Linked DNA regions of Lonchura striata. The protein of the gene in region 3 binds, or shares a complex with, the protein of the main gene of each other region. Links are inferred from orthologs where the notes say so. Each region holds a gene or a part of one and is shown on either strand. Other genes may lie near its edges.

Region 1 (7,947 bases), on a different chromosome or scaffold from region 3:
TCAGTAACATATCCAACCTGTAAGAAAATCCTACATTATTTAGTGCTGCAGACATTGTAGATACAAATGTTACAAAAATAAATCTTGATGTAAGGAGATCAAGCATTTCCAAAGGTAAAGAGTCAAAATTTACATAAGTACCCCCCAGAAGTTTAGGTTACTTGAATTATTTGAAATCACATGCTGTGCATCCATCCCAGCACAGGCAGCACACAACAAGTGCACTTTCATTTTTCAGCAAGATCTATAATGTAGAATCCTTATCTGTGCAGAATCTTTCAGAATAACCCCCCCACAGACACCATGTTTCACTGTTACTCATAATTCAGAAAGGCTATTGGCAAACTAAAAGTGCCAAGCCTTTGTGGCAGTACTAAAAATAGATACAAGAGTCCAGCAAAGCCAAAATTTGGATTGAAACTAAAAATGCCAGCAGAACTTTCCATGTTACTGCAACTATCAGATATTTAGTCCAATTTTAAGGCTAGAAATAGAGGTTAAGAGCTGCCCGTGGTGTCTAGCTTCCCTCCCTTCTCAGAAAGGAACACTTGCTTTCTTTGCTTACTCAAAAGATGCTGTTCACCTTAACAACTGCTACTTTTTGTTCTTGACATCTAGCTCCTCACTGAAGAGGCAAAGAGGGAGTTTAGCCAAAAGCAGTACCTACAAAGCCCAAAGTCTCCAGAGAGTACTTCTGTGAATACTCCAGGAAGCACTTTTGTGAATTTTAGTCTGTGTACACTAGCCCAGGGTTAGCTGGCAGCACTCAGAGAGCTCCACTAAGGGAAAGGCTCAAATGCCATTCACAACTATTTGGAAGCTTCATACATCACCTACTAGCAGGAATACCAGCTCTTCTGCAGCTGTTTAAAAGATGCTGCTACTTTTTTCATTATGAAGGCAAAAAAGATACACAAGTAACTACAGCTCCTAAACATCTGTCTGGACATAGACAAAACATTTGAGACATACCACTACTTGTATGAAGAGTCGAAGTGTTAACATTTTATTTGTATCACCAGTAAGTTACATCTTTGTTTCTCCTGCAGATAACTAGAGCGTGAGAGGTTTGTTGTCCCATCTCGACCAAGGTAGCTTCAGCTCTGTTCTCTCATTGCCTTGTGGGGAAATAACTACCTGTTTTGTTATATCCTACAACCTTAAATTTTGTTATTTCATATTCCTGAACACTGAACACTTTGGGTACAAACCTAAGAGCCCAAATGTTTCCCTTGTATTTACTTCTAGAGATTTCCTCTGAAAACAAGTGTGAACAAAGTTAACCAACTGCAAGACACGAAAACACTGATGAATCAAGTCATACTGTTTCTAGCTAAATCAATGAAAACAATGACTAAAAAAAATCATTGTGAATTGCACTGGGTAGATACAACAGCTTAACAAGTCTTAACTGCTGTGATACCAAGTGGAACTATGCTACACTCGTAGCTTGCACAGAACACCAGGACATTGTAAAACGCTCACTAAATAGCCAGGCCAAACAGACAAAGCACAAGAGCATTTGTGTAACCTGGAACTGCTACACTGCACCTTTTATAAGCCATCTTCTACACACACTAGGGTGAAGTCTACAGAAACCTAAGGATCTGCGACTGCTTTGAAAAAGAAAACAGCTCATTCAAACAGCTTCTGCTCTAAGGAAGACTATCGACCTTGAATTTGTTCACATGTCTTGATGTCCTAATCACCCAATTATAAAGACACTGCACTTAAATGGTCTCATTTTACCAGTATAATTTTTTTGCCAGGTTTTTTTCTATTAGAAGTCACCAATATGAAGTTTTTCAACCCAGTGTGATTAAATAATGCCAACACAAGCCCAGTCACAACAACACAATTTGCATTAAAAAAATTCTCCAAATCTGTTTATATCTTTAGAGAGAAATGCTTACTGCCATTCCTCCACTGCTTTTAAAATAGCCTCAAGTGATCTACAAAGACTCACAGGTGGACAAAATAGAGCTGTTTCATCACACCAACCACAGCGACCTTAGCCCTTCCCCAGGCAATTCCTGCCACATCATACCCTTAGATCTCTAACTCCGATTAATATTAAACTATTGTATGCAATTTCGGACGAAAAGGAAGACTGAGCACTGAGGTGTGCCCCCACACATACCCCTTCCCCCCACACCAAGCAGCAACAGCAGATTTGTACTCCTCCTCTCCCGCTGCACACTCACGGACACGCTCCCCGCACTTCTCTCGGGGGGGGGGGGGGGGGCACTTACTCGCACCTCCCTCCATCCCATTTTTAATTACACCGATCCCAAGCGCTGCTTCCCACCTTAAAGCCAGCTTAAGCCGAGGCTAGGCATACGCGCAGAGGGCCCTGCTCTCAGGCGCCTACAGAGGCCTGTTTTCCATCAGTGACGTGCCGAGCCGAGAGCCGCTCGGGGATCTGGAAGGAGCCCAGGGAGCCTCTCCCTGCCCCGCCGCACACCCACCCGCGCCCCGGCACCGCTCGGCGCATCGCGAACAACGGGCACCGACCCCGGCACCCCCGCGGCGCTCAGGCACGGCGGAGGGGGGTGACGGGGGTGGCGAGGGGGCAGGGAAACACCCCAACCCACCCACCCAAAACGCTCACACCCACGGGCAAATGCTTTATGCGGCCCCCCCTCCCCGCCGCGCCGCCCCCCCGAGCGCGTCGCCATTTCGTGAGACAGGAGCGCTCCGAGCTGCCCGCCGCGGGGATCAGAGGGAAGAGGGAAAGCACTGGGAAGGGGATCGAGGGGTGAAGCCCCGGCCCCACGGGGCACCAGCCCATGGCGACGGCCGGCGCGGCCCAGCCCAGGCCCCGGCCGCGGCGCCACTCACAGTTGCGGATATCGGAGATGAAGACCGCCAGGCCTCGCATGCCATCGCCCTTCGACACGGCAGGCATCGTGGCGCACGATCACGGCCGCCCTGGGACGCGACACGCCGAACCCCCGCAGCCGCCGCCCGCTCTCCCCGCGGGCTGCTTCAGGCCGCTCCGCCGCCTCCGCAGCGCGCAGGCGCCGCCGGGGCTCCCGCGCCCCCGCAGCCGCCGGGCGGGCGCTGCTCGTGCGCCACCTGCCGTGCGGAGGCGGGAGCGCCGCGGGTGCGCCGGAGGCTCTGCGCCTCCCGGTGCCGCAGCCACGGCGGGCGCGGACCCCGCCCGTCCCCCGGGATGTGCCCCGAGACCTGCCCCGCTCCCGGGCGTTCCCCGTGCGACCCTGCGGCCCTGAAGGGCTGGCTAGCTGGAGGCCGGGCCCTGGGGATGGGCCGTGCCGCTGCTGGCACGCGATTTGCAGTCACCGCCCGTGAGGGAAAGCGGGCCCGGGCCGAGGTGAGGGGCGGCAGGGCAGCGTTAGCCGCTGTGTCCGTGGGTGAATTCACTGCACGCTCCCTGCTCGGGAACAGCCTCACCTCTTCCTCTCCTCGTGACCCTAATGGCCGAGAAGTTTGATGATTTTTGAAGGTGAAATACGGGGCTTCTCAGGCACCTCAAAGGATGTAACTGCTGAGGGAGAAGGAGAAGGACCGTTGATCAAGATACCGGAAAATTTCACTTCATCACCTAAGCTTTGAGCAGACTATTGATCTGGGATCTTATTTTTAAAATATGGAGAGCCAGGTAAAGACTCTCTGTGGCATAGTCCGTAAGAATATGCTTTCCACAGGGTGGACTGCAGGAGGCTGTGCCTTGGTCTTCCTCCTCAAAAGGGACCCCAAAGCAGTGCACGGGATCTCCTGCACGTACCCTGCACAGTCCCTGTGAGCACTGACAAGCCCGGAGGCGACTGTGCGCAGCTCCATCCTTAGGCACATCCCCTTGGGAGCCCGCCGTCGCTCGTGTGAGTGGCACAGTTGCTCCACGTTCATGTAGATTCCCACTCCCTGACTCCCTGAAACCCAGGGCCACATGTTCCTCCCGATGGCTGTAAACATGCAGAGTGACACACACACCACATCTACTCCCGAGCCTGAAAACATCTCAAGGTTAAACTGTCTTAAACGTGACGAAGAGGTTGGACTATGCAGAGCATTTAATATCTTCAGCTGAAAATAGGTTCAAATAGTCTCAAAACTGGCCTAGACTGCCTAACCAAAAGTGTGCTGGGGGCTTCACTCATGATGCAAGGAAAAATATGCTTAGTGGAGAATAATGACTCATAGAATCATGGGGCTTAGGGCTATAGGAGATCAGTCAGTCATTTCTCCTCTATTTCAGCATACTTCAAACCATTTAATTTCATCTGGGGTTTTTTGTTTGTTTGTTTAACACACACACACACACACACACACCATGAGCTTAGCCCAACATCTAGCTTTTAGCTATGGTCTATCTTCCAGAAAGGCACTGAGTCTCGCTCTGATACAATCATAATTCACTGTTGCCCTGGATAGCTTCCTCCCATGGTTAGTTCTCCTTGTTTAGAACTTGCATCTTGTTTAGATTCAGCAAGTTCCAGTACCTTTAACTTCATGATACATTTTTCTCTCATAAAGATCTGTATGTCTGACAGTGGCTGTATATCTTAGTTAGGTCACCTCTGAAGGCTCTATTCCAGGTGTTTTCAGGATACAGTGTTACATGAGTGCTTTTTAGTTGTGCAAGTGTCTATGAGCAAGGCAAGATGACAGCATGCAACTCATGCAATTATCACTTTGTTCCTGGATCCATTTTGTAGACCAAGTGCAAATACAGGCAGTCATGCACAATTAGTCTACTGTTCAACTCAGATTTGTAGGCTTTCATGAAGAACATACTCCTTTTCCACAGCTTTACAAATATATTTTTATGCTTAATAATAATTTCCATGCACCTTTGAATGTGAAAACTTCCTATGTCACCAAATCAGGCTTTTCCTGTGATCAGAAAAAAAAAAAAAAAAAAAAAAAAAAACAAAAAAAAAAACAAACTCTTTTTTGAGTTAATTTCTACTCCTAAGAGCACAGTGACACCTAAAGGCTCAGTCTACCAGTCCTGTCTGGTTGTATTCCTGTCAATACTGCAAGTCATGCAGGTATCCAACTGCCTTTTCAGCAGTGCTTTAAGTACTGCCAGCAGGATAGCTGTGGCAGTACCAAGCTAAGCATGAGCTGCAAATTCTTCTTGAGAACTGGGAAAATATCCAAGTGGTTAGCACATGTGGATGACTCTAGTTTTGCCTCATACAGCTAAATGTTTCATTTGAAGGGGCTCAGTATGCAGTACACATACCCTGATTATTTTATGTCAACCTCCTTTGACTGGATTTCAAAGCTTCACTATATTCACCCTGCTGTCTTTTTGCCTCATCAAAGGCTTGCGCAATCAGGCATGTCTGTCCTTACTGCCTCAGAACTTAGAACTTAGTAGAAAATTTCAGATGTCTTGGTAAGGACAAGGTAGAAATTTTATGTGAATAGTAGGGTATCTAAAGGAAAGAGAGTCTGTAATGGTCTCTAGATGCATCCTGGCTGAAAGAAACATTGTAATGTGAACTCAGCTGTTACTCAGCACAGAGCTTGCAACCAGGCACAACCCTTTGCAAACACACTGAGTTGGTAATTCTGTAAAATATTTTGGTTTGAGCCTAACATCTATAAAACACCAGGCTGCCTAAAAACAAACATAAGTGGTTCTATCCATCCCAAGATGTTATGATAATTTAATATTTATAATTGTAAAATCAACATTAAAGGGGAGATAGTACCAAGAAATATTTTCCTATTACATAAAACAATTGGCATCACATTTGTTTGCCAACAGATCCAGTGTTTGTCCCCTAGTTCCCATTTTATATGGGAGTAATTAAATTTTTTTTCCAGAATTTTATTGCACCGGTACAAAGGCTTTAATAATTACAGTGACCTTCATAAAACTATTACTATTCATCTGAGTGTTTTCAGCTGGTGAGGATCCAGTTGTGGGAACTACAAAAAGGGAATTGTTCCTTTCCTTTTGTTACTTCTCTCACATTTGTCTCACCAGTTATTGTTTTCTCCTGCTCCTCATGATCATTCCAGTCATTACTGGAACCAAAAAGAACTCAGGACTAAACAGAATCCATGGCTCCACCATGCATACACAACCATATTTCTGTACTTGACATTGAACATTCATTATCCCTTAAAGGAGAGCACAATGCCTTCTGCCAGAGTATCAGGTGGGCTGCTTTCAACACTGGAAAACACAAAGTTCGGCTAATATCATTATCATGAAATCTAAATTTACAGAAATTTGGGGTGCATCTGGGCATAGAAGACTATGCATCTGCTTCACAGATAAGACTTCTGTTCAGAGCAAAAATATTTCCATTTTTTCCTTTCCAGTGCTGAAGAATGCTCATTAAGATCTTCATTACACAAGATGGAATGAAAGAAGAGGGCAGTTCAGCAGAATAAGGCAACCTTCCATTCAAGCTTCTAGTAGATTGCACTAAACTGTAACCAAGAGAGAAAGCAGGTCACAGGATAGCTTCTATTGGGAATTTCACTGCTAGGATATGCTGGCCTTGCATCTACATCATGATATAACACATCCATTTTTTTATCAAGTCTTTTGATAGGGTATTTAGTCCCTGCAAGCAGCCTGTGAAATAACAGGGTTATACCAAAATTTCTGCTGCAGTAAAAATAGCAGCATCACAAGCCATGCTGCACACAAAAACACAAACTGTAGAAGGTCAAAGCAGAAGAAAATAAAAAACTCAATTAAATCCACTATCTTTTATTTTAGAGCCTGTTAAAAGCCATCTGAGATTTGACCCCTCCTTTCTGCAGACCCAGAGTCATCAGTACTGCCTGCAGACTCTTTGCAGCCTTACCTACACGATCATTTTGCCTCCTGGTCAGTGTGTGCATTTTAGCCCAAGTTCCTGATTTACCTACATTTTTTTCTCAGAATCACAGAAACAATTTGTTTTGGAAAGATCTTGGAGATAATCGAGTCTAACCTGTGATTAAACATCACTACTTCAACTAGACCATGGCTCTAAGTTTTTCTTAAGACACATCCCGGGATGGTGACTCTGCACCTACCTGGACAGCCCCTCCCAATGTCTCCTCACCTTCTGTGAAGGAATTCCTCCCGGTTGGACCTCCAGGTCCAACCTGACCCCCCGCCCTGCCATAGCTTAAGGCCATTTATTTTTGAGTTGCTGGTAACCTGAGAAGAGGCTGATCCCAACCTAGCTATAGCCTATTTTTGGGCAATTGCAGTGAGCGATAAGGTCACCCCTGAACTTCCTCCTCCCCAGGCTAAATCTGTACCAATGTGCTATAGCTTGGGCTAAACCAAGAGGGTCTCTATGGGAATTTAGAATCACACCATTATTAGCATTTCCTTTCTTCAGCTACCGATGAGCCGCAAGGCACGGGCCCGGGCCGGGCCAGGCCAGCGCCGGGCCGGCCCGGAGCGCCGGGGAGCCGCGGCCGCCGCGCCCCTCCCGCCCCGCCATGTTGGCGCTGCCGCCGCCCCGGCGCCGCCCGGAGCCGGCGGGGCGGGGCGGGGCGGGGCGGGGCGCTGCCGCTCGCCCGCACTTCCGCGGCGGCGGCGGGCGGTACGTGGTGTCCGCGGGGCTGGGCCCGGCAGGGCAGGCACGGAGCAGAGGGGGAAAGGGCGGGGGTGAGGCTGCGCTCGGGCGGGGGAGAGGCGGCCGCCCGGGGCTGCGCCAGCGGAGCCGAGCTCGGCGCGGCCGCAGCGGCGCCGGGCTGGGCGCTGATGCCGTGCGGGCTCCCTGCTAGCTCCAGAGCTGGGCGAGTGTGGGAGGGAATTCTGAACGCCAAAGTGGTGCACTTTGCAAGAGGGGAGGGTTTAATGTTTACACAGGTTAGAAACGGATTTATTCTCACTCTTCACTCCCCGCTGTTGCTTTCATTTAAAAATGCATCAGCAGTATGCTTCCCGGCCTTCCTTTACTAAGTGATGCAGGTTCTTTCTGCAAATGTAGTTAGAATCTAGTTTCTTCTTTA
Region 2 (7,606 bases), on a different chromosome or scaffold from region 3:
AAAGCTGATGGTGTTAATAGAACTCCAAAACTGGTTCTGTGAGCTTACTGCACAAAGTCTCAGTGCAATACCTGGGTTAAAGGCTGCATGAAGAAAGGGTACTACCAGGAGCCAAGTGTCAGAGCAGGAGAATCCACAAGCCATGACCTTACAGCTGATGCCAGCTTGGAAACTGTCTCACTGACTGGAAAAGTCACTGCTTCAGGGGCAACAGAAGCCTTGCAGAGCAAAACATCTTGAGAGGTTTGTAACACACTTAGATACCACTTCTCATCTTCACTTGCTGATGCCAGACTTGAGATAGCTGAAAATTACAGACTCTACAAACATGATGTATTTAGCCCACTCACAGTATGGTTTTAACCCACACACAGTCTGGGTTTCTCAACCAGGGAACTGTACCAGCTGCTAGTTCTTAACAAGATAGGTGGCAAGGCAGCACAAACAAGGACTCAACACAGGGAATTGGCCACTACTGAGATGTAGCTGTTAGCTTTTTACCTTGCATCCCTTGGACTGTAATCTAAACCAACCACACAGAGTATTAATTATGCCACTGATGTAGTGAGGGATACAAGGAACTCAAGGAAAGCTATGCAGCTAAAGACCAACATATGCTGTTCTGTCCTTAATGATAACGGAAGACACAAATTATAAGAACGTACAACTAGTCAGAACTGAGATTCACTGCATCCTGTGAGAGAAAAAAATATCTGACCCTTTTCTCTTACTGCAAAGTTTAATGGCCATGCTCCTGATGACACTGATATTTTAAAAATAATTTAAAAGCCAAAACTATGAAGAGCAGAGATCGCTAAAGTTGCCAGCTGTAATCCTATATATAAGGAAACCTGTATGTTAGATCTGCTAGGCAGTTACTATTGCTCACTTTGTACTTTAAAGCATCATAGAAATATAATGAAAAGCCATTAATAATATATAGAAAAGGTCAAAGATTTACCTGAAAAAAAAGCATGACATAACAAAGTAATTCATAGTGAACATTGCTTTAAATTATAATCAATCAAATCTGAAAATTCTCAGAGAAGAGACAACTTAGCCATTAGGAAAATAAGTATTTAGGAAAGTCCAATGTGTTGCATAATCCCACATAATACATCTCATAGAGATGTGGGAAACTGCTTTTTAAGCTTTCTGGTGACAACACAAACTTTATTAAAATAAGCCTGTTTATCTGGACAATATTAAGGCAAAGTCCAGATCTCACTTGTCTGTGTAATGTAAGGTATGCTTTCATCACCTTGGCAGAGAAAAGAAAAAACAAAATCAGTCACATGCCAGAATTAGCGAACACGATCATTTTCCAAGCAACCTGTAGTCTGAAGTTTACTTGTCCAGACTAGTAATTTGCAAAATACACGTTTCACAGAAGACAAGAATGATTCATATCTGATTCACAAGTAAAGAAATGCCAATGTTTGCCAAATTTTTGCCTTGACAATAGCAAAAGTGCCCTCAAACCACTACTGCAAAATTATCCTAAGGGTATTTCCCAGCAAAAGGCAGAACTAAAGTATGAGAAGACTGGAGCTACGATCTAGTCATAACCCGATCTAGTCAAGCAGTTGAGCAATTTTAAAACTTTTTGTCTCTAGAAACCTTAAGTCTCTAAAAGATTAAGCTATGGGAATGAAAGAATCAGAAAAGTTGAGGCTGATTACAACAAATTAATCCACAAAACAATTAAGAAAAATCAACAGAGAAGAGATGCAGCGCAGGAAGAATATTTAACACATGCACTAAACAAATGAGCAGAGAAAAGGCTGTCTGATCGTATATCAACACAAAAATCCACTTTGCGTGGAAATATGTAATTTGAGCATTTTAAACCTACAATTTACAGCGTATTCAAAAGCGCCGACGGAAAGATGAGCGAGCGATATTTGTTTGCCTTGCAATATCTGAAGCGCAGAAAAGCGTTTCAAAAGCAGCACAATTCAGCGGACTCAAGCAAGAAAAGAGCCCAAACCATGAGTAATTCCACAGAGCAGCTGAGGGGTAGGTGGATACGAGCAGCTTCCCCGCGCTGCTGCTAATGAGCATTAACCCCTCCGCAGCCCCGAGCCGCTCGCAGGCGCACAGCCGCGCATGCCGAGGGGTGCTGGGCTGCCCCAAGCCTCCGCGGGCCCCGGGCACCGAGGGGAACGGGTCCCACTCGGTACAGCGGGCCCGGCCGGGCAAAGGGCCGGAGCGCGGCGGGCACCGAGGGGCGGCCGGCGGCCGCAGCTCCGCCAGCAGGGCCACCTGCCTTCCCTCAGGCTCCCCGGCTCCGGTTTCTGGCGTGCTCCGCCCGCCCCGAGCCGCGGGCCCCCTTCCTCGAGGCTCCGAAGGCAGAGCCCCCTCCTCCCCGCGGGCCGCGGTCGCCCGGCCCCGGCACCCACCGCCGGCCCCCCGCGCACCCACCGCCGGCCCCGGCACCCACCGCCGGCCCCCCGCGCACCCACCGCCGGCCCCCCGCGCACCCACCGCCGGCCCGGCACCCACCGCCGGCCCGGCACCCACCGCCAACCCTGCGCACCCACCGCCGGCCCCGGCACCCACCGCCAACCCTGCGCACCCACCGCCGGCCCGGCACCCACCGCCAACCCTGCGCACCCACCGCCGGCCCCCCGCGCACCCACCGCCGGCCCGGCACCCACCGCCGGCCCCCCGCGCACCCACCGCCGGCCCCCCGCGCACCCACCGCCGGCCCCGGCACCCACCGCCAACCCTGCGCACCCACCGCCAACCCCGCGCACCCACCGCCGGCCCCCCGCGCACCCACCGCCGGCCCGGCACCCACCGCCAACCCTGCGCACCCACCGCCGGCCCCGGCACCCACCGCCAACCCTGCGCACCCACCGCCGGCCCGGCACCCACCGCCAACCCTGCGCACCCACCGCCGGCCCCCCGCGCACCCACCGCCGGCCCCGGCACCCACCGCCGGCCCCCCGCGCACCCACCGCCGGCCCCCCGCGCACCCACCGCCGGCCGCGCTGCTCCGCGGGCGCTGCGCCCGCGCTCCCGGCGCGATCGCCTCCGGCCGGCCCGGCCCGCCCGCGCCGCCGCCATTGGGCGCTCCCCGGCGGCCAAGGCGCCGCATTGGCCGGGCCCGCCCGCCCCGCCCCGAGCGGAGCCGCCCCCGGCCCCGCTGCTCCCCCCCGGGCCCGCTGCTCTCCCCCCCGGGCCCCGCTGCTCCCCCCCGGCCCCGCTGCTCCCCCCCGGGCTGGTCCCGCTGCTCCCCCCCCCCCGGCCCCGCTGCTCCCAGCATTGATCCCGTCCCATTTGCTTAGGGCCCGCTTCTAAGTGCGATTCAAAGGCAACGGACTTTGCCGCCTCTGTTCACCCACGGACAAAAATAAATATCAATGTACAGATAACAATCGATAATGCAAACAAAATATCCTTCCGTTCGGGGTTATTCAACAGGCGTGCTTAAATATAGCGCTATTTATTTGTAACTGGTGAGTTCGTGTACACACCTTTAACACCAATTAACAGGCACCTCACTTCTTTTTTTGGGTCCTCATGAATTTTGTGGATTATGGATTAAGCAGGTATAAATTAATAGAATGTCTATGAACCAAATTGTGCTTAGGCTGTTGAACTGTAAGAGTATTACAAACCTAATAAAATAAATTTCATGGTAATAGTAATCTTATTTCTGCCTTTAAATAGTTCAGAGAGCAATTTGCATATGAAAATGTCTTTATGGTGAAATTAACTTCTAATCCCAGTACATTTCCAACGCTCCAGCTGAAAGGAAGTTTATGCAAAATGAATATGTACATCGTTAGCTCAAACATGAGTACAGATATGTACATTTACAGCCATTACCAGACTCAAAGAATACCTCTGGAGAGCTGAGGGAGTAGCAAGTCACCAAAGAGCTTCCTAGAAAATTCAACCTTGCAAGCTCAGAAATGTTATTGACCATTTGCAATAAACATGGTAATAAAAGCCTTAATTAGTAATGGAGACTGACTGTAAAAAGGAAAACAAAAAGAAGGTTGCAGTTTTATTCTTCTCTGGGTGAACTAAGAGTTTTAAAACGTGCAAAACCACGGGGAAATCTCAAATGCAAAGTGCAAGATAACTATGTAATTACAACTGATGTTACACTCAGCAGCTTAGCATGTCTGGCTCGCCCGATTGTTTCCAAGGGGCTTTCAAAGGGGGTCCTGGTGCAGAGCAGTGTGCGGACAAACATTACAGAGAACACTCGAACCGAAGCCCAAGGCCCCCGTGGCACAAGCGGGGGACATCGCGTGTCCCGAAGCACCGACACGAGTGCCAGCTAGAGGTGGCTGCGGGAAAAGAGCACGCAACTCGCACATTCCCCAAACGGGACTTGCGGATTCTCTTACCCAGCAGTAGAAGATGTTGATTGCCCAGACAAAGCCAGTCACCTGGAAGATGTTTAGTTGAATAATCTGCCCATGGGCCCAAATGGGTTTAGTCTGGCTCTCAGACTCATTTACATGTGTACAGGGTAAATTCAACAAGGACGTAGATAGTTCTACTCAGGTACAACTGGTGTCTTTGTTTTATGAGCCAAAAGAACTACAGATTAGTTTTCTAATTGTTTCTCTTTATCTTCGCCATCTTTAATAAACCCAGGATCCAGAATTACATTATTGACCTCTGGTGTACTGTACTATGAAAGATCCTGGCTAGAAAGAGACTTGAAGGCCATCAATCCTTCCCTGGTTTTAGTCAAATTCTGAACCCCATTTCTTTTTTTACTTTTTCATCTTCTTTGTTTTCTGAAGAAAAGTAAAAGCTATTACATAGTAACTTTTCACAACAGTATTTGAACTTATAGTCACAAAGGCTTGTGACAGCTACAAATGCTGTCACAGTGCAACAGCTGCAGTTGGCTGCTGTATCTCTCATTGCTAAAGCACAAAGCATGAAATGTCATCAATCAGGTTACAATCACCAGAAATATATTTTCCATCTTTTCTTTCTTTTCACTCCAGAGCATATTTACTAACAGCCTTTAGATCAGCCTTTAAGGGCTGAGGAGAGGGATGTTTCCTCATTTAAGATATCATTAAAGGAAAAGAGCTTGCATAGAATATATTGCTTTTTAAGCACTTCTCCTCTTCTGTGCAGATTACCAGGCTTAAATTTGCTCTAGGATCAATTACATTTTCTGGTATTAGGTAAATTGAAGTTCCTGTATTAAGCATCCTTTTAAAAAGGAGGAGTAGGACAGAGGTGGGGTAAGAGCAAAAACATGTTACAACATTTGATTCTCTTACACTATTTATTCCAAATTACAACATCCTTACCACAACATCACACAACTCTGTTTACTATTGCCATTCTGTTTGGACTTGCAAGAAATTTTTGCTTTATATTTCTGAAGTTCTTTTACTAGTAAGATCTGGAATGGAAGGAGTAGCAGGTAACAAACCTGATAGAGGTTCTTATATTTTCTTGAGTTTTCTCAGAATCAAAGCCACAGAAAACACTTTTGGTCAGCCCTGCAGTGATCAGGCAGTTAAGCTTGATGGTCACTACAGATCCTTTTTTGATTTGATGGTCATTACAGGTCCACTGAAATATTCTATTACATCAGAACATCAAACCCAAAATTATTCTATTTAAATAAGTATATTCAATTTCTGGTTGAACATTTGTGTTCCTACAATTGAAAGAGAAGTTAGAATATACTTGAGCATTTATCACCACCAAAGTAAAGACATAGGGGAAATAAAAAAAGTTAAAAAAAAAAAAAAATCAAACCTACTCCAGAGAGTCTGATTTTCCTACTTGAAATAGTTTGGGTTTGAAGAATAAAGATTATATTCTTCCATTTTCTAGAATATGACAATATTAACCCTAAAAAATATAGCATTCTAGTATTAATATTCTGACTGATGTAGAAGATGTATTTACGATATGACTTTACTGGGTTAGACCATGTGAAATCATAACTATAAACACATGTACTGAGTAACTAAAAGCTAGAATGATCCCAATTCTAATTTATTTTGAATATACACATAACCTGACTTTTTGTTCTTTCAACTTGACAGCTAGAGTTTTTAATGTTAATATTTCATTATAAAGATATTAATAATTCATTATATCCTGGAAAATGCTGCTATTTTATTCCAATACAAAACCATGATTCTCATGCAAGCTTTACTGCAAATTTAATTAAATTTGTCAGTTAACAGAATTCAATATATTTCATCATATTAAATGAGGCAGTGTGACTTAATCCTTAGTTGTGTGCCAACAGAGGCTCCACTCAGAAGTGTACAGAAGAACTTTGAGATTTTCTTTACCTTTTTTCTTTACCTTCCACAGTTAAGTCTGTACTTCATATTTCTTTATACTGTATCACAAAGTAGTCTCACAGAAGTGCTACTTCTCAGCCAGTGAGCTGATATTGACACACAGAGCAGTAAAAGAAAAAAAAACGTGTGGTGCCAAAAGATTGTTTGCTTAGCTCCCTTACCTCAGACCGTGTGCACACACCTGTGTGGTCTTTGCTCCAGCTGCCACAGCCCAGTCTGGAAGATCACATCCTTCAGGAGAGATTTAACTGCACATCTCAGTAATGGCAAGATTAGATTTAAACAAATATTGCTGGGACAAACGCACTATTTCCAGCATGGCAGACCATCACCTTCACCTCCCCTTCACAAGCAATATTTTTCTCACAGAAGGGCATTTCTCAATGACCAGACACCCTTGTTTTGCCATCTAGCAGCAAACCAAATTACCAGCATCTGCAGAGCTTGTTCTGCTGCAATCTGAGCAACTGAAGAGTTTGTAGAATAGCAGTGCCTGGAGTGCAGTGGCTAGTGGAGAAATTTGGAAGCATCAAATTCTCAATATAAGCATAGAGAGAGCTAAAGGCTCATCAAACATACTAATTTTATGTGTTTTGAAAACTTTATTTTCTGTAGCTGCAAGGAAGTCTTTATGATTTGACATTTAGAAATCCCAAGGAGACAGTGGAAATTAATATTTTATGCCCTGTGTTTAAATAACGAAGAGTATTTTAAAATGACAGAATACCGTTTGTTCTAGCACCTTTCACAGTGCCAAATGAGATTAATGAGACACTAGATCTGAAATCTTAAAGGGGTTTATTTTTAGTTCACTTTTCTAATAATTTTAGTATTATTTACCATAAAGTTTTTCAGTATTCAGCCAAAGGATTATTTGCACACTGTTTACTCTAAACATGAGCTTCATGATGCTGAACTAGTATCACCAGAAACATTTAGAAGTATTTTGTATCAATCTACCTTTTGGAACTGAACTAAGAATGACAATGTACTGAAGAGTAAACTCTTTGGGGCTTGTAAACACAAACATAATAATTAGGCCAATTTTTTTCAATTACATGTGCAAAACACCAGAAGTATTTCTTGTGTCTCTATGGTGCTAGTCACTGAATATGAAAGACAGGGTAGGCAAACAGTTAATATACAATGTTCAGTTTGTTAGTTGAGAGATTACATAAATGAAGAAATCCTTCTTTCTTGCCCTATTTTGATAAGATCCTACTTACTTGAACCCTTTGCCTTCCAAAAAAAAAAAAAAAAAACCAAAAAAACTCAGACTCCTAGTAGGGAAC
Region 3 (7,483 bases):
TTAATACTTTCTGAAACATTTTGACATTGTTATGGTTGTAATTAAGACCAGATGAAAATGAAGGAAAGTGGAGAATGTAAGAATAGATAAGAAGATGAAAATAATTGGGAAGACAAGTAAGGAAATCTCAAGAAGAAAAGCTTGCTAGTATCAAGATTTACAGTAATTCCATAAAAATGGTCTTTTACCATTAACAGTCATGTGTTTGTCTTAAAGACAAACCATTTAATAAGAAGAAAAATACCAAGTGCTCTTTTATCTAATTAATTCATGTATCTTATAATTCTGAAATTAATTAATCATCTTTGTGAAGGGCAGAGTAAACTAATTCTAGGTTAGGGGAAGGTTGGGAATTCAGTGTGTAGATTATATTTTTTATATTTTCTGTTTTCTTATAACATAATAATCTTTTAAGTGTTTCAGAAAGGTGAGCAGTGTGTTCCCTGGATTTATAGTATAGACAACATGCCTAAGGAATCAGGGAACAGAAGAAACTGTTGGTAAAAGCTTTTCTGACTGCTACTTTGTAAATATATTAGTTTTCAATCCTCATTTTGGTTTAATATACACTACACACTACGATATTGACATGTTTAATTTATAATGAAGACTGATGCTGTTTCAGCAGTGCTATTGCTTGTTCTATTTCAGAACATGTATTAAGCTGTTCAAGGAACAGTGAAATCTCCAACTGCTACATTAGCTGGACATGTCAGATTAATGCCTATTGAAGATTTTTCTGGGTTTCAAATATGGTCTTGAATGAAAAATGTCATTGTGCTGTCAGTCATTCAGCTAATTATCTAGAATTCAAGCTGACCTCTTGTATATATTTACGTTTTCTCTTATTATTTTACAACATGAAGTGTAGCCCCATGAAACTGGCTAATATAAATTAGTTTGAGAAAAGATGCTTACAGTCTTAATGAAAAGATAAATGGTATATGTTTTAAAATAGCAGATCTGTACTGCTACATTTCAGATTTGCCAGCACTTCCATCAGATATGATTAAAGAGATTCACTCAAACCCTATTCAGGTTATTTTCAATTTTACCATTCTCTTAATAAAAATTCAATATTATTCTTTCTAATTACTACGGTTAAAAGATAATTTTAGCCTTTGTTTTTCTGAATACTGGCAATATAGATTACATCATTTTGCAAAACAAAGAGGTACAATAATTCCATACTTTGTTTCTGCCAGATGAAGGAGTTAAATTCAGATATATTCAAATACTTCTGAACAACTGAACAGAAAACACTTTAGAGATGAACAAATATGCAGTTATCTTAATATCCTAGTTTGTGTTTATTTAATACTGCTACAGTTTTGTATAAATTTGATCATCTCTCAACCCACTTTGAAGTATTTTCAAAGCTGCTATAACTTTGAAAGTGTGCAAACCACATTAAGAAGCCAAGAGCACAGCACAAGATGAATTAGCAGGTGATTCCTATGCAGTTTTCATAACGATCAATGTACATACTCCAGAAAATAGACATCCTCCTAGAGGATACACTATAGGACTCACAGATTACGTGTTTTATGTAGAAGAAACACAGAAATTAACAGGTCTCTACAGAAGGTCAGTTGGAGTCTGGCTAGATGATTGTAATGTTCTCTTGTGGCCTTAAAACATAGCAGCCTATCTGTAACCCTTTGTCTAGAAAACTTGCAGCTGCATAAAATGTAAAGAGCACACAAAGCATATCCTGGGGTGGATTTCTAGATAAAGGCATGCCTGCAGTCGTGACTTCCTAAACCAGCTTGTGTCACTAGTCCTGGAAAGTACCCTGAGATTTCTGATAAAAGGTCTCCTCAGTCCAAAGGTTGTCAAAGTCTGCGTGATGATCTTCCTCCTTTCTCAGGAGGGATCTTTCAGTAGCCTAAGTGTGGGAAGTGCTGTTCTGTACCAGGACTATGGCTGTTGCTTGGCTCTCTGAAACCTGTGCAATGTCTGTTTGCCTGTGGGCAGATTCCCTTGCATTACAGTCTTTGATCATAGAACAGTGATTCCTTTTTCTGGCCAGGATTTTGTGTGTTGATGCATATGTTTCCTTTTGCTCTGTAAAACTCAAAGTGGCTTAATCCTTCTTACTTTTAAATCCTTGGTTCTGTATACGCAATGCTGCAGCTACTGCTCTGCTTTGCACTGGAATTCCAGAGAGCTGGGTACCTCATTTTGTGCTCAGGAATGCAGGAGGCAGGACTGAGTCATTCCTCTCTCAGCCTCCGGAGTGCTCATGGGCTGTAGTAACACCTTTCCTAGAACGAGCAGAACAAGTCACACTAAATGCCTGCGTGCTGTTTTGCGCTTCCCGTGTGCTGATCCATAGGGTAAACAAAGCTCTAGGAAAGGAAGAGATGGACACTTAAGATGTTATTTCTGGGGGGACCAGTAGATGATTAAAATGTTACCAGCTTTACTAACAATCATATTTAGACATCTATAGAACAGTGGTCGTTAGTGTTTGCCTGTGGTGGAGAGCCTTTCTGTGCTACCTTGCACATTTTCAAATTCAGCTGTATCAGAGCAAGTCATTTGTACAGTGTTCCACAGTGGGGATTTGCACCAAAATGGTTGTGCTGCTGCTGTGCTCACTGCACTGCTGCAAGTCCCAGTCTTCACCAGCCATTTGGCTAGTTTTGATTTGTTAGCAGTCCCTTGTTTGTCCAGTGTAGACATAACTTTGTGCATTGTACTTTCAAAGAAACAATAAAGAACACTAAGATCTGGTACCTATTTGTCAAAATGCCAGTATTTAGAATTGTAGAAAATCCTATTACACTTACAAATAAAAGCATGCTAATACTATTTTCCATGTCCTTTGGGCATAAAGTGCACTGTAGTAGAGGATCTTGCAACAAAACATCATATAGCAGTTCTTACAGAGCAGATTACAGATAAATATTTCCTGCAGGAGAATTCATGTTAAATGCAAAAAAGATACAAAATGAAACTGTTAAAGTTCTTGCAGTTCATTGATCTTTTGTCTTTCTTATGTTCTTAACAAGCAAGCTTTCCTGAAAACCCAGCACAGAATCCCACCACTCCTTACAAAATTCACAGAAGATATTTCAAAAGGTCAAGATTCATGGGGTCAGCAAAGGAAGAGATAGAAGAATGGGGTTTCCACTGAGGAGGAAATAAGAGGAGAAGTACATTTAGAAAATCCCTCCATTCCAGATTTCAGGAGCTCTTCCACACTAGCCAAGCCCTGGTGAGCTGCTCATGGCTAAGCCAAGAAGGTCATTGGAGGGCATTGTTTTGCAAACCTGCCAACAGCTTTGAGTAAATTTTAGTAGCTGTGACTTTTCTCTTGGCTGCAAGTAAGTATGAAGTCCAGTTTTGTGATCTAATATCAGGTGATGACATCTCAATTCCAGCTGAGAAGCAGAGAGTTGTTTTTCTTCTGGGAGCTGTCATTCTAGATTTGTGAAAATCTGCAATACAATCATTCACCATCAGCAGGCTGACAAGTGCTGTTGTGATTGTTATAGAGATGTCTGAGGTTCTGAACTGGTTGTTTTAACTCAGGTGGTTGGAGGCATCCAGGACAATTTGTCTGTGAGCTGCACAGAATGATCAACAACAGCACAAATCTACATGACCACACTAATTCAGTGTTGACTATATGAAACTCATTATTGTTTTAATTTGTAGAGGCCACAGTGGTTACCTTGAGGGATTCTTGCCCTCTGACTGTGGACACAGTGGTCATGCCTGATGACTGTGAGCGTGCAGAGCCAGGGTGAAGGTACATAACCACATACCTGGCAGTGCTTGCTTGTTCCTGAGCTGCAGGTGCAACTTGGAGTCTGCCGCAGCAGCTCTGGAGAACACTATGGAAAGGTGCTCTGGATGTGGACTGCTGTGCCCTTCACAGTTTGAGGAAGTAAAATGGGGGGTTATTTTCCAACACAAAGTTCAGGGAGATCAGGCCTTCAGGAGTGGTCTTGGCTGGAGCAGACCTCCCTACTGAACAAGTGTTCTGCTCTGAGGGGACCTGGGGCTTTTCATTGTGCTCTGGGGTGACACAGCTCTGCTGGCTGACTGGCACAAGTCCCTTGACTCAGCACCTGTATTCTAGAGCCTTGCTGCAGCTCTGGGTCCCTTCCTGCACCTGGTAGGAAATACTTGATGCAACACCCAGGAGAGAAAGAGAACAGCAGCAAGAACACTACTGAGCCAGATAGCCTGCCCACAAAATCCTGCTCACAGCAGCTCTCTGCATCAAGCCTCCAACTCCAGAGCCAGATCCCAGGTCCCTGTTTTGCATTTTCCTTCTCTTTGCAGAACACATCAGCCTGGGTGTAACCTCTCTCCTGAGAGGCCACCCGTCCCTGCCAAGCTGCAAGGCTCCAAGATGAAGGAAACAACTGACAGAGCAAAGGGCACCCAAATGAGCTCATGGCTGCTCAGAAATTCAGGCTCTCCAAATGCCCACTAAGGGGCCCCCTCCCAAAAATCCTGCTCTCTCCAGGAGACACAGCTGCAGCTTTACAATCTTCTGGTTTCATTTCCAGGTATTAATTATTCTGGGATAGAATTCGAATTTTAATCAAAGAAGAAAAAAATCTAGAAACATAAAGATAAATCTAGAAATATAAAGATAAATCTAGATATAGAAAAAACCTAGAAATATAAAGTCTGTGCTGTTTTCTAGGGATTTTGCTTATGAGAGAAGTGTGAGGTGGAGTAGAGAAGTGACAAGTGAGTATGTGAATGGTGTGAATATTTTTATATTTATTCTGTTTGCTGTTTATATTCTTCCCCTCCATATTTTCTTTTTCTTGCTGAAAAAATGGCTGAGAAACAGGTTGATAAGGCAGAGCTTCTATAAAACCTTTATAAAGGAATAGGTGGGAAGGAGGGATCCCACATTTCATGACAGATGATGAGCACTAGCAGCTCAGGATGACTGCCAGCTGAGGAATGACAGGATGCAGAGGTGGGGCATGAGCACACGACTGAGCTGAGGAGGACAAAAACAATGCAGAGGGGTATAGAATTATGAACAGATAAAGAAAACAAAGCATGTAGGGAAAGCTTTCCAATAATCAAGTATGACTTCAGCTAATTTTTTCTTACTAGTCCAAATGCATATTTCAAGATTAAATGTGTGCCTAAACCACCTTGGGGTAAAGCATAAAAATAGAAACATTTTCTCTTGGTCCTCAGTGACTTATGTATGCTGAGGTAGTGCAGAGCTCAGAGTAGGAGTGGAAATAAGCCAGTGGGAGGAGGTGAGCAGGTACAGGAGCAGGAGAATGAGCGGTGACATAAGTATTGTTTTCAGCCTGTCTGTACACAATTGTTTCCCATGGGTTTGGAGAATGTGGTGCAGTTTACTCCCCACTCCAGCCTGCTCCTTTGTGTCTTGTTGCAATGTCTCATAGTTTCTCCTGCCATAAGGGTTGCTCATCCCTTTCTTCTGGTTACCCGCCCCAGAAGAGCCACTGTTGCCCTGAGTACAAGCAGGGAGACAGAAGGATGCGTACAACCATGAGTTGCCTGGACAGGCATCTGATTTCCTGTGAGTGGAGGGAAGCAGGAGGCCGAGCCCAGGGCTGCTCCTCACCGCTGTGAGGATGCGTCGGGTCAGGACATCCTGCTGGGCTCACGCGCTGCTTCCTCCTGGGCCTTGTGCCCAATTCTGTTGCAACTGAGACCAGACCTGCTTCACCTCCTGTTTTGGGACTTCCCCACCTGTGGCATGACTGGACTGGAGAACTGCAACCATTCACCATGCTGGAAGCATCTCCAGCAGAAGCAGGGCAAATAGGGAAGGTGAGGGAGAGGCCGGGAGCTGGCAGTGGGGGATGTTGGTCTCCGTGTCAGGCCCATGATTCCGGCTCCGGGTTTTCGCTGCAGCTGCCTCGAGCGGGCTCCGGCTCCGGTAATCCGCGCCCGGTTTTGCGCGCGGCTGCGCTGCCGTGTGGCGGCGGGGGAGGCTCCGGCTCCGTCCGGCGGGCGGGCGCGGATCCGGTGCCGGGATTTGCCCGGGGCCGGCTGGGGAAGTTGCCGAAGTTGTGCGGCGAGTGGCGGGGCCCGGCGCGTCCTTCCTGCGGCCGGGCCGGGGGCATGGAACAGCATGGCCGCGCGCCTCTCCCTGGCACAGGTGAGGGGCTGCGCGCCCGGCCCGGCCGTGCCGCCGCCGCCCGCTCCCGCCCAGGCACGGCCGCGCCGCGGGGCTGCCCGGGGCCCGCGCTTTGTGCGGACGCCGCCGCCCCGCAGCGCTGCCCCGCCGCTGTCAGGTGGCGGCGGGGCGGGGGTGTGTCCGTGTGTGCGGGAGGGAGGGAGAACGGCAGCGAGGGGAGGCGGGTGGGCAGCCCGGCGCCGCGACCCGGGGGTGCCGCGGCCGAGGAACGGGTCCCGCCCGGCCGCAGGTGCCTCTGCCCGGGGCAGGAGACCCGGCCGGGAGCGGCCCCGGGCGGGCGGGGCTGCGCCGGCGGCGGCCGCCGTCCGTCTTTTGTCTCTGTAGGACTCGGGGCTCCGGGCTGGAGCCCAGCGAGCCCCGTCCCGGGAACGGAGGGCGGGCGGAGCCGGGGAGTGTTGGCGGAGGGGCTGAAAGGCGATAGCGCCGGGTTAAGGTGTCCGTGCCCGGTGCCAGCCCCGCGGGCACACCCGGCATCGTGGGGTGCTCCGGGGCAGCGAGACCATGGGCAGGTGGCCCTGGGAGGGATAGACGGATTCCTTGTTTTAGCAGAAACCTGGCTCCGCAAATGCTGCTTGCGGGATCGTTTTACCTTGGTTTAGGTGGGCCCCGTGGTTTTGGGACATTTTTGTCACATAGTGCCCATACAGGTGCCTCATAGTAAAGAGCTGTGGAGGTGGTGGCCCTAAAACTTGGAGACCGTGGCACTGTGTCATGCTCGTGTCATCTCACTTCACCTCAATCCTTCTTGCTCGCATTTTTTTCTGACAGTAGTGGAATCACTTCACACAGGGTATTCTACATCATTAGGATCATGTCTTACTCCCTAGAGCTGCAATAGCTAAGGAATGACATTTTTTGATACTTTCTAATTTCATTTAGCAGTGAGATGAGAAATTTACATTCCTACCTGACATAAGGCTGAAGTGGGCCTTTTGGTTCACTCTCCTGGCTTGGGATGCTTCAATCTGATAGCTAGTTGTGACATTTACAGAAAGCAAAGTGGGTAAATGAGCTTAATAAATTGCTTAAGCACATGGAAGTAAACTTAAAAAGCTGGCAGTGAGGCTGCACAAGTTTACAGTTACTTACCTAGTTTGCTTTTGAGAAGAATATCAACCATTTCAAGGAAAGAAGTAGTTCAGTGAAAAGGTGAGTAAATATATGGAGAAAACAAATATATCTTTAAGAGTCTAAAGGTATAGTTATGAAGTATAGTACTGTCTGTGAAAGCTTGCTTTATATTAAAATGGCTAAGTTAGTATTGTCTGAGTCTCTTAATAGTCTTCAAATAAATGTAAAAGCTTTAAACATCTTACTGAA

Evidence for each region.
Region 1: the proteins of EPS15 (region 3) and AP2A2 are in contact, whole or in part, in a crystal structure (PDB 1KYU), measured with the Mus musculus proteins. The link is inferred for Lonchura striata from reciprocal best matches to the Homo sapiens genes EPS15 and AP2A2. Residues at the interface, in NP_031969.1 of Mus musculus: Asp629, Pro630, Phe631, Lys632; in XP_006536218.1 of Mus musculus: Phe442, Phe443, Trp446, Lys447, Asp487, Pro488, Val494, Arg511.
Region 2: the proteins of EPS15 (region 3) and STON2 are in contact, whole or in part, in an NMR structure (PDB 2JXC), measured with the Homo sapiens proteins. The link is inferred for Lonchura striata from reciprocal best matches to the Homo sapiens genes EPS15 and STON2. Residues at the interface, in NP_001972.1 of Homo sapiens: Leu139, Gly148, Lys152, Pro153, Val154, Leu155, Leu156, Asn157, Ser158, Lys159, Val162, Asp163, Leu165, Gly166, Arg167, Trp169, Glu170, His176, Gly178, Met189, Val192, Tyr193, Leu196, Glu197, Lys198; in NP_001353779.1 of Homo sapiens: Trp309, Arg310, Ala311, Thr312, Asn313, Pro314, Phe315, Glu318, Gln321, Asp322, Gln324, Pro325, Ser326, Ile328, Asn329, Pro330, Phe331, Phe334, Phe335, Glu337, Gln338, Glu339, Arg340.

The regions. Positions count from the first base shown.
Region 1 is NC_134608.1:45,479,701-45,487,647, reverse strand, and holds the start of AP2A2 (AP-2 complex subunit alpha-2), read right to left. Parts: upstream 3,029-7,947; 5' UTR 2,909-3,028; coding exon 2,842-2,908; intron 1-2,841. UniProt on the Homo sapiens protein: Component of the adaptor protein complex 2 (AP-2). Adaptor protein complexes function in protein transport via transport vesicles in different membrane traffic pathways.
Region 2 is NC_134608.1:20,302,034-20,309,639, reverse strand, and holds the start of STON2 (stonin-2), read right to left. Parts: upstream 3,059-7,606; 5' UTR 2,986-3,058; exon of another isoform or gene 2,960-2,985; intron 2,552-2,959; exon of another isoform or gene 2,524-2,551; intron 2,426-2,523; exon of another isoform or gene 2,403-2,425; intron 2,156-2,402; exon of another isoform or gene 1,856-2,155; intron 1-1,855. UniProt on the Homo sapiens protein: Adapter protein involved in endocytic machinery. Involved in the synaptic vesicle recycling. May facilitate clathrin-coated vesicle uncoating.
Region 3 is NC_134611.1:10,084,346-10,091,828, forward strand, and holds the start of EPS15 (epidermal growth factor receptor substrate 15), read left to right. Parts: upstream 1-4,427; 5' UTR 4,428-4,442; coding exon 4,443-4,529; intron 4,530-5,933; exon of another isoform or gene 5,934-6,097; coding exon of another isoform or gene 6,098-6,124; intron 6,125-7,483. UniProt on the Homo sapiens protein: Involved in cell growth regulation. May be involved in the regulation of mitogenic signals and control of cell proliferation. Involved in the internalization of ligand-inducible receptors of the receptor tyrosine kinase (RTK) type, in particular EGFR.